Tribolium castaneum: one gene and its partner. Each later gene encodes a partner of the first gene's protein in a complex. Links are inferred from orthologs where the notes say so. Each region holds a gene or a part of one and is shown on either strand. Other genes may lie near its edges.

Region 1 (6,025 bases):
TTTTTCGATGCCAATCGATTCCCCGGATCATTTTGCATGGGTGAGGATCAAAACAGTTCCACTTTTTCAAATAGTTTAGTCGTAATTGGGAAAATAAAAAAAGTTAAAAAAAGTTAACACAATAAAAATAGTTAACACAATAATAAAAAAAGTCGTAGAGCAATGCGGTTTGTTCCAATGAATTCAGCGGCTCATTTTTCGTCTTATAATCACTTATTAGTATTAAGTATCAAAAATAAAAAAATAGTTCAAAATTCTTGAATTATTTGCTAAGGAATCAATAGTTAGTAGTTATAATCTAGCAGCCAAACAAACTTTTCTCTGTTTTGTCCGCTTGTTTCCCAGCCATCTCCGATAATTCCGAAAATGAATCGATTATCGTCGAAGTGTACACTTGCCTGGGGTCATTTCTGCGTTCCGTGGGCTATAATTCACAAGTCTGGTTAGAGGAGGAGTCCGGTCTGTAGTTACCGGTCCATAGCTCACATCCTCCTCCAGCGTGTGGTGTTTAGTTTGTCAGAGGGGCAATTAAACGCCTCGGAAACTCAGGTCAAGGGGTACAAAATCGTGGAAAACACCTGTTCAATATCCACCCACGAACGATAATTGTAGGGTCGTCGCAATCTCCTTATTAATCTCGATCGTGTGTGTGTGTTTTTTTTCCTATTCGGACAACCAAAGCTAATTGTGGGTAAATTTTAGGCCACGATTGAAAAACCGGCCAACATTCCGGTCGTCTTGGCCTTCCCCAGCATTCTCTACCAGACGAGAGTCGGAGGATACCAAGCCGAAATTGCCTTGCCTTTGGGGATGGTGGTTAATGCCGTTTTTAAAAACCAGCACTGGTTGTATGTGCAGACGCCGCATGCCGAGGAGGGGTATGTCAGCTATGCGGCCTGTTTACCACTAGGTAATAAACAGATTTTTTCCTAATTTTTTGACTCAAAAAAGAGCGAAATCGAGCAATTTTTAGTCAAAATCAAGTAACCTGTGTTTTTTTTTAAATCAAGTTGGCAAAGTTCAACTTATAGTGTGTCAAAGTCATAGACTGCTTAAATTAAAGGTTTCACTATAAAAACTGATATGATGAGTAAAATATGAGTATTTTTCTGAACATTTAATAGAATAATAATTTTTTTTTGTAAGTTAGGTAACTAATAATTTGGTAATTTGTGCAATAATGTTTCAATGAAAATGATTTGTTTGTAGCTTTAATTTTTGAAAATTTTGTTAAAATGGTAAAATCAAAAAAATTATATCAGGCATTATCCCACCCCCTGAGGACGACGCCACCGCCCCTTGCTGGGAGAACAGCACCGATGTGTTCCCTAAACCCTCCGGCAACATGACCGACACCGAAAAACTCAGCTCCAAGTCGGAATGTAGCGTCGAGACGCGCTGCCACAGCCGAAGACTGCGCCCCTCAAGCACCTGTGAAGAAAGAAGCGTCGATCGACTCTACCTCAGCGCTTTGGCATCCTCAAAACGTGGCAAAATCCAACGACAAACACTCCTAGTCATCAACAGTGACTACTTTGGCACCGAAAAAAATGCCCTTCAGGTGCAGAAAGGCGACGTTGTGGTACTCCAGGGTACCCATGTGCCGGGGTGGTTCTGGGTGCGCAACAAGGAGGGAGAGGAGGGGTTCATACCGGCGGTTATAGCCGGACACGGATTTTTGTAAATAAAAGTTGTACAAATTATTTATTAAAAATTTATTTCAAACAGTTTAAATTGTCTTTTAATACAGTCCTGCCAACTTAAATATGAAATTTGCGATTTCACACAATAATACGCCAATTTGAGCACTCAAACTTGGCCATACTGTAACTTAATTGTTCTTAAAAAAATAATAAGGGTTATAAACGATTTGGGGTCACATTCGAGCGATTTTTGACTCTTTAACGGTACCTTATCCTAACCTAAAGAGCATCAATGACAGCTGTCAAATTCAAATTCTGGACGAATTATTTATGGTTTATTATTTTACTAAAGACTTAATACAGAGATAGTTGCAAATTTTTGTAGATAAAGTTGCTACAAACGTCGATTTTGGGGCTCGACCCCGCAATGCACAAAGTCTGGAAGGGCTCATCCTGATGCACCGCACTGTACGTGGTCACAGGAGACGTCGGAATTTCCGTGATAATGTCCCCGTTAAAACTCATTTGGTAGAATAAATTAGAGCGCCCCCCTGCGAAAATCCTGTCTTGGTAGACCTCCGCCACATGAATCCCTTTATCGTCAATGGGGAACACTGTGGCGATATTCAGGGAGCGCAAGTGCCATAAAGACAGTCGGGGGCCGCCGCCGCACAACTAAAAAATCATTTAAGGGGGGCCACTTCGCCCAAAATTGCTGACATACCAGCCAATCATCGTTAATCCCAACGCCCCCTATCCAGGGCCCCAGCTCCACCCTGGCCACTTTATCCCTACTGTGGGGCTCGATTTTGCTCACTGGGGGGCCTCCTCTCACATCCCATAGCAGCACAAGCCCGTCTTCGCCCCCCGAAACCAGTTTATTGTTACTGAAATGCCATGTGACCAAAGTACAGGTTCCTGTAATCACTTACCAGAAATTGATGCAGTGAACGTAATTCTTGTGCCCTTTAAAACACCGCACTTCTTTTCGTGTCTCGATGTTGAAAACGTAAACATTATTATCGCCACAGGCGGCAAATAATAAATTATTTTCGGGCTCAAACACTAAACAATTAACGTCAGGTTTGTCGAAACTGTCTTTGGAGTTCGGGATTTCAATTGTCCACGAGCAGGAGGGTTTTTTGCTCGTTTTGACGTTCTTCCAGGAGTACCCCAAAATCTCGCCAACTGTCCCCACAACAAGGAACGCTTTCATGGTCAATAAACTGTTGATTTGGACGTCTTCTTTAATCGTGAATGCGTTTTTGGGCAGTTGGTCTTCTTTTGTGATCGAAGATCCTTGGTTTGTTAGCTTGGAAAGGCTGGAACTGGGGTTCAGGGGGCTGCTGGAAGTTACTTAATACTTACTGGAAGACCGAAATTGTGCCGTAAATGTCACCTACGACGAGATAGTTGCCACACGGGGTGAAAGTCTGGCTCAAAACAGTGTTATAGAACGATTTATTCAACTTGTTCACCATTTTGAGGTTAAGAAAAAATAACTTTTTGTGAATTAAACGCACGTTTAATAGGCAATATTACTGTACAAAGTCTGGTTTTATTACCAATTATACGATTACAAAGGGCGCAAACGTGTATTTAACATAAATACAGCCCCAAACATTAAACAATATAACCTCAATCGACTTAATACAGGCAACTTAACATGCAACGCGGTTAAGTTAGTTGCATACCTAACTTTATTTATGTTTTTTTTATGTCATAATTAAACATATTATACTATAAACTCTAAAACAAACGTAAAAAATATACCTTAAAACGTACACATATTTGTATAGATATAAAAAAAGAACGAGAAAACGCAGATTTAAGTGTTAAAAACGTTAAAAAAATCTCAGTTGAGCTAGTGGTGTTGTGATGAGCGTGCAACCAAGTAAGCAGCAGTTTGTTTAATCGTTTATTTTTCACTTTTTTACAAAACCAACGTCTAAAAATAGCCGCAAACATCTATAAGTTGTGTAATTTCACGCTTTACTTTGCTACCGCACATTTATAGCCAAACACTCGTTATAAAAAAAATATCAGCAAAAATAAACATACCGCTTGCGTATGGCATCCTTCGGAGTACATTTTTTAATCTGAACGGTTATTATTACAAGCGAGATCAATAAAATTACGTAAAGTAATAAACCCACCAAAAATAAAACTAATCTCCGTGTGCGTGCAATTGACGGTTTTTGCTTGAAGAGCACTAGACCCAAAAACAGGCCTGCGAGGCCCCCGATCATGTGGGCCCCCCACGATATCAAAGGCTCCTTTTTAAAATTGGCATGTAACACGTTGTAGATAATGTCGAAAATGACGATTATTCCGATACACGCAGATCTGTAGATTTTGTAATTCAAGGTTTCAAAGTTCTGAAAAAAATTACAAAAATGTTGTTTCTCGCTCGCTTTATACCTACTAGAAAAATATCGGAAATGTGCGAAATTAAAAGCGCATACACGCCCCCGGAGGCCCCAATGACCAAGTCGGGGTGAAAACAGGCCGCTCCCAAGACTCCGGTGATTCCCCCGGTCACGTACAAAACAAGAATCCGCACGCTTCCGTGTCGCGCTTCTAAAAAATAGGCGAAAAGCACTTGCATGAAAATATTGAGAGTCAGGTGGATCCAGTCTTCGTGCAAAAGCATGTAGGTGACGAATCGCCAAATTTCGGTCAGTTTGTGCGGTTCGAAGCGGAGCAGTTTTTGGGTTTTTTCATCCGAGGCAGCGTAGAAGATTATCTGGTGAATTACCATAAACATTAGCTAAAAATAATGCAAAAATCTGGTTTACCTCTAAAACACTGACTGACAAAATACCGAAAGGTGTGTTTCTTGCCCAAGCGGCCCATTGCGACGATTTCTTCACTTCTTGTGATAAGGGAAAGGGGATAAAAACTTGCTCGGTTTCGATTAAGGGGTCGATGGGGTCGGTTAATTTCACTTGGATTTTTTGCGACGGTGGCATAATTAAAATTTACCAAATTTGGGTCGAAAACTTAATTAATTAAAATTGTGTGTGATAATAAATTAGGTACTTACTGGAACATGTCCGAAAGTGGAGGGAAATAGGCCCGATTTTGTGTCGTACTATTTGAGCAATTATTATGCGGCATCTACTCCGCATACAGTTTGAATAAAACTGAACCAACTATAAATAGTTAAAGTTATAAAAACAAAAAACTTGCGTTTAAGAAGGTATTTCACTCTCGAGGAGAGTGAAAATAGTTAGACATGACTCCTCTGTAATTGATACACCTACTGACAATTTATTTAATGAAGTAATTGCACCGGTTTTAAGCGAAATGCCAGATAAAAGTGATAAAATCGATGAAACAAGATAAGAATGTTGTTAGTTTGGTTTAATTGTAAATATGCCCCAAAATATGTATGTATTTTTTTTATTTACATTTAAAGTTTAAACTTGCACGTATTTTCTACTCTTACATTTTTATGTTTACTTATCAAAGTAAGCGAAAAAATTCTTATTTTTGTATTTCCGTCAATGGTGACCTAAATATTAGGGTGGCCATGACGTTTTAAGAGCAATAAAATAAAAAAATAATAAAATAAAAAAGGCCAGTAGAATAAACACAAAACCATTTCTTTGATTTTTATTTTTAATAATTACATAAAACGTAAGTTGGTTGAATAGCCTCAAATTGCAGTGTATAAAAATTGTCTGATATTTCCTACAGTTTACCTACATTTTTTCACCTTATTATCCGCTCAAAACAATTAAAAAATTCGTTTAAATTTTTGGTAAAAAAATCCTACAAGACCAATATCACACACGTAATAATTAACCAAAATAATTAAAAACTAAATTAGATGTAATGAAATATCGGCAGAATATCTGAACGTGTTCCATGGCAAATAGAAATTTGTACTTGGCACCTGTCAAGGTGATTGCGGTTGTGAGAGTTAAATTAAATTGAATTAAATTAATACTACAATACGTGAACAAATACGTATTTTAGTCCAGTCACTAAGCCTTTAAATCAAAATACTTTAGCTACTTCCACTCAGCTTATCTCTGTTAATTTCAATAAAAAAAATAACAAACAAAAGAACATTTTTAGTAAAATTATGTAAATAAAAGTCTGTAAAACTAATTCTCGAGGTTGAAAAATATTCGTTGACTCCACGTTTTCGCAATTTTTTTCAAAAACTATTATTTTGATTTGAACCCTTTCTGCTGGACTTTCTTAGGTATAAAGTGAGTGAGATCTAGCATTTCAAAGGCCGACATTGCACCCCGGTCTCAGTGCACCTGCACTCCAAGCAAGGATTCGACAATTCGGAGATTATCCTTCCGACCCGATACATCCTTCCGTAAATATTACAGCCCGCCAGTTTCAAAATTCCGACGTTTGAA
Region 2 (4,286 bases), on another chromosome or scaffold:
ATTAATTCAAACAAAGTAGGATAATTCACAACAATTTCATCAGTGTCAATAGTGAGCATTGTGAAGCCAGCCCTTGTCAACAAATTGCCAATATCTCTAACTTCGGTAAATGGAGATATGTGAGGAGAAATGCCTCCACGACGCTCTAATTCAGCCAACTGGAGGGAAGATCTCAACTCATATAAAGTATCTCCTCCAAAAACCGCCGCAAGAAGAACACCATCCTCCTTAAGCGATTTTAAAATTTGCTTAAAAGCGTTCGGCAAATCGTTCACCCAATGCAAACTCAAACTTGATATAACCAGATCAAGGGAGTTTGGCTCAAACTGAATGTAATATATTTTAAACCAGTTACAGAGGATTATGGCTAGGAGACTAAACGAGATACAAACTTGCAGGATTTAAATCAAACCAACTCCCTAATAACTTGTAAAAAATGCAGGGTTAAACTTTACAATGGAACAACTGCCGCTCTCTGGCGACATTAACGGAACTATCAAGGAACTTATTACTTGTACTTCGTTTGATATCCTAACATTTAGAGATCCGTAGCTGAGACATTGAAATTAATAGGTTGGCAACATGAGTATGCTGACAAGGGCGTCATTGTCGCCAACTTATTAATTTTAAAGTCGGAGACTACTTTGATCAGGAAATTTCAATCACCTCAATGTGTTCCTCATCTAGTACTTGTTTCCTAACTTTAATACCCTCTTGTACTTGAACACTGTCTAAATTAAAGCGGTTCATATCACATAAGATTAGTTCTTCAATACATTTTGGTGAAATATGTTTGGACACGTAGCCCCTGCTGCAACCTAATTTAGGTTTAACCTTCCTCTTCCTGTATGAACTTAAACTCACCAATGTCTGCGGCCAGTTTAAACTTGCGTTTGATATCAAACACCCTGTCTGCTAGTCGATAGCCAATTTCATCTTTCAAATAATCATACAAATTGGCGTCTTGTGCGGAAGCCGCCCGTTCCCTTTGCAAACTCTTGGTGTTCCTATCAAACACATGCATAATGTGTTCGTCATTTTTCTGGTGAATTAAAGCACCGACCGAAAAGTGTCTCGCTTTTTTAAGATTCTTCAAAATGCGGAGTTTTGTCAAAGAGGATTTACGTGAACGGAAAACTATATTAACCAAAGACATGACACTGTTTAAATGAATTAAAAACAACTCATTTCAGCACAACAAATCATAATTGTCACAATGACAGTTTAGGATTTTGAGGTTAACCAAATGTCAAATGTATGTCAACTGTTGTGATTGAAGTTAGATTTAGCCCTCCGCCCCATTTTTCTGTTCCAAATTCTTACATGTATTTATTTTACTGTTGTGTGTTCGATGGATCTGAGCAGTTTTCAAGTGTTACAAGCCCCTCCGACTGTCTACTACATTCCAAATTTTGTAACACCTGAAGAGGAGGCCCACATTTTGAAAAATGTGTATTCAGTGCCCAAACCAAAGTGGACGTGTTTGTCCAAACGAAGACTGCAAGACTACGGGGGCGTGCCCCACGAGAAAGGCATGATTCCGGAAGCAATACCAAACTGGTTGACGAAATACATGGAAAAAGTCGCTCAATTGAACGTTTTTGAGGGAAACAAACCGAATCAAGTATTAATCAACGAATATCTTCCCGGCCAAGGCATAATGCCACACACTGATGGGCCACTGTTTTATCCCACTATTGCCACCATTTCGTGTGGCTCTCATACAGTATTAGAGTTTTTAGAAAATAACGAAAGTCGTGCTAAAGTTTGCCAATTACTTCTCGAAAGGTGTAGTCTAGTTGTAATTAAAGACGACATGTACGCTAAATACCTCCATTCCATTAGAGAAATTGAAACTGATGTTATTGATGAAGGCTGTGCAAATTTACTAAATTGTGAGAAACAATACGCCATTGGCGATAAAGTCAAAAGAGACACGAGAGTTTCTCTAACCATTAGAAATGTGACTAAGGTGCTTAAAATAAAACTATTCAAATAATTTTTGTACTTGCTTTTATTCGCCTAAAATAACATAGCTGATGACATGTAACCATGGTAACTGTCAGATTTTCTAACATAAATTAAGTAACCGTGGTAATTGTCACTTTTACCAACTTAAATTATTCAGACATGGGTTCAGGGCCTGTGCTGTCCGCCACATCCTCAAGTAGACTGTCGTTATGGCAATATTCGTTTGACTCCTCCAACATTGCTTGTAATTTGCTGGCGCTGGACACCAGCACGTGAAATTGTTTTCTCCTCATGTCCAGTTTCTGCTCCAGCAGCTCCTTTTCCTTGTGCAACTCTTTCAGTTCCGCTTGTAAGTTCGAAAGGCGTTCGTTTGTTTCCTTGCGTGCTGGCTGTTCGGCAATACTTTGTGCCAACAAATCGTACATCATGTGGTTTTGTTTCCATATTTTGGCTTGTACTAAGTTGTCTTTGTTTTGTTTGATTGAGTCTTTTACTTCGCTGATTTGCTGTTCAAATTTGTCGTAAATTTTTTTGTAGTTTTCAAGCTGACGCGATGTGGTTCTTGTGAGGAGTTGGGATCTCCTGACTGAGTATTCACAAAGGCTTAATTGTGCTAGTAGTTTGTCGTGGGTTGCTTGGTTCTCTAAGGGGGAGTCTTCGGTGGAATTTGCCCATTTTCGAAGAGTTTTTGCTATTACGTTGAGCCTGCGATCGTCGCCGGTTCCGTCACCGTCTATGAGTAACTTTCTTTTGATAATGTCCTCTAGAAGTTTTACTGTTTGGACACACTAGTAATTTTATAAGGGAAGTATTTACCATCCGACATGGTACCACGTTTGTCCTTTTGTTTCATTAAGGCGGATTTGTTTGCACTGTGGACGCCGAAAAATTTGTATTTTTTGAGGTTATGACACAAATTGTCAAATGTTGGCACTTGCCAACAGTTGCATCGAAAGTCTAAACCAAAAATTACTAGAAATAGCAATTAGAGGACATGTTGAGATAAGTGTTTTAATGGTTGCATATAACAAAAGCTTATAAAGCGTAAATCATTTAAAAATATGACTATAATTTATTTTATTAAATAATACGTATTTTGGTGATTTTGTCATCGGCTACGAATGTTTTCACTATTTTAAAACACGCTTTCCATAGCAACGTGTTTTAAATTTAAACAAAAACAAAAAATTTTGAATAATAATTTATGCAAAAACGCTTAAAGTTCTCAGGTGTCTAGGTGTCTCGCATACGCTCGTTGCATAACGACAGCCCTCGAACTTTAAGCTTCTAAAGTACCAACTTTAGTCCCGGAAATACAAAAAAGCAAATTTTTGTGTCGTTTTTTGCTCCTGTAAGCAATTTTTTGTGCATTTTTTTTGTCGCAACCTATTTGTTTTGAGTTGTTTTTGCTCCTGAAAGCTTTTTTTGTGCAATTTTTTGCTCCCGCAAGCTATTTTTTGGCCGTTTTTGTAAACACAATAATACCTCAAAAAATTCAACAAAAAATAAACTATGTATTAAAGATTTTTACATTTTAAGTGAATCTGCTCCAGTTTTTGCTACCACAAGTTATTTCTTGTGCTATTTTCTGTTTTCACAAAAAAGCAAAAAGTTTCTAATTTCAATTTTAATGATGTTTGTTATTTGGGTAATTTATTTATTATTATTTTGGATAGACATATTTCAAAATTTTTTATCGCTATTAGAGTATTTCATACGCGATGTGCATTTGACAAAAAACAGAAAGGTCTAGAAAGGTCATCACAATTTAAATTCAAAACAAAAAAATAAGATGAATTTTCGGTAAATCTTACAATAAACAGTCTAAATAGTTTTTACTTTTTAGACACGTAACTCGTAGTTTCATATTTAATTAAGCTTTAAAATATTGTTTTATTTATATTTTATCAATTATATCAAACTTGAAGCATTGCAAGATATTTAATATCTGGTTTCTATCGGTACAGGTACTAACGGAATGATCACCTGATGATTATATTTACTCTAGGTGATTTCACGTGTCTAATGAGAAAAAATTAATAAAGGGTAAAGTACACCAAAGTAAACATGACTGATAACGGTGTACTTTCCTTGTTTATTATTATTTTATTACTACTTGATTCATTATTTAAATCACATTTTTAATAAACGTGGATACTTTAGTTATCAATAAATTAAATCCCGTAATCATATTTTCAAAAATCCGTCGAAAATTATGATCTTAGCAGTTCAAAGTTCACTTTTTTCTTATTTTGTCGACGAATCTCCAATTACTCATCGGATTTAAACGATTCAGGAGAAGACCGCGTGTCCGG

The links. Proteins that work in one complex are often made in the same cells at the same time.
Region 2: thoc6 (region 1) and thoc7 share a complex: the UniProt entries of both Drosophila melanogaster proteins name them as parts of the THO complex. The link is inferred for Tribolium castaneum from reciprocal best matches to the Drosophila melanogaster genes thoc6 and thoc7.

Annotation. Positions count from the first base shown.
Region 1 is NC_087395.1:25,799,344-25,805,368, reverse strand, and holds thoc6 (THO complex subunit 6), read right to left. Parts: upstream 3,306-6,025; 5' UTR 3,125-3,305; coding exon 3,012-3,124; intron 2,966-3,011; coding exon 2,576-2,965; intron 2,531-2,575; coding exon 2,368-2,530; intron 2,319-2,367; coding exon 1,998-2,318; 3' UTR 1,966-1,997; downstream 1-1,965. Other genes in the region: uncharacterized protein LOC103314375, read left to right, coding at 703-878, 1,263-1,684; protein rhomboid, read right to left, coding at 3,686-4,021, 4,069-4,389, 4,442-4,615; uncharacterized protein LOC662691, read right to left, coding at 5,878-6,025; DNA oxidative demethylase ALKBH2, read left to right, coding at 3,522-3,537. UniProt on the Drosophila melanogaster protein: The THO complex is required for cell proliferation and for proper export of heat-shock mRNAs under heat stress.
Region 2 is NC_087397.1:9,556,666-9,560,951, reverse strand, and holds thoc7 (THO complex subunit 7 homolog), read right to left. Parts: upstream 2,946-4,286; 5' UTR 2,825-2,945; coding exon 2,788-2,824; intron 2,735-2,787; coding exon 2,121-2,734; 3' UTR 2,000-2,120; downstream 1-1,999. Other genes in the region: arginine-hydroxylase NDUFAF5, mitochondrial, read right to left, coding at 1-326, 667-818, 865-1,156; alpha-ketoglutarate-dependent dioxygenase alkB homolog 6, read left to right, coding at 1,352-1,999. UniProt on the Drosophila melanogaster protein: The THO complex is required for cell proliferation and for proper export of heat-shock mRNAs under heat stress.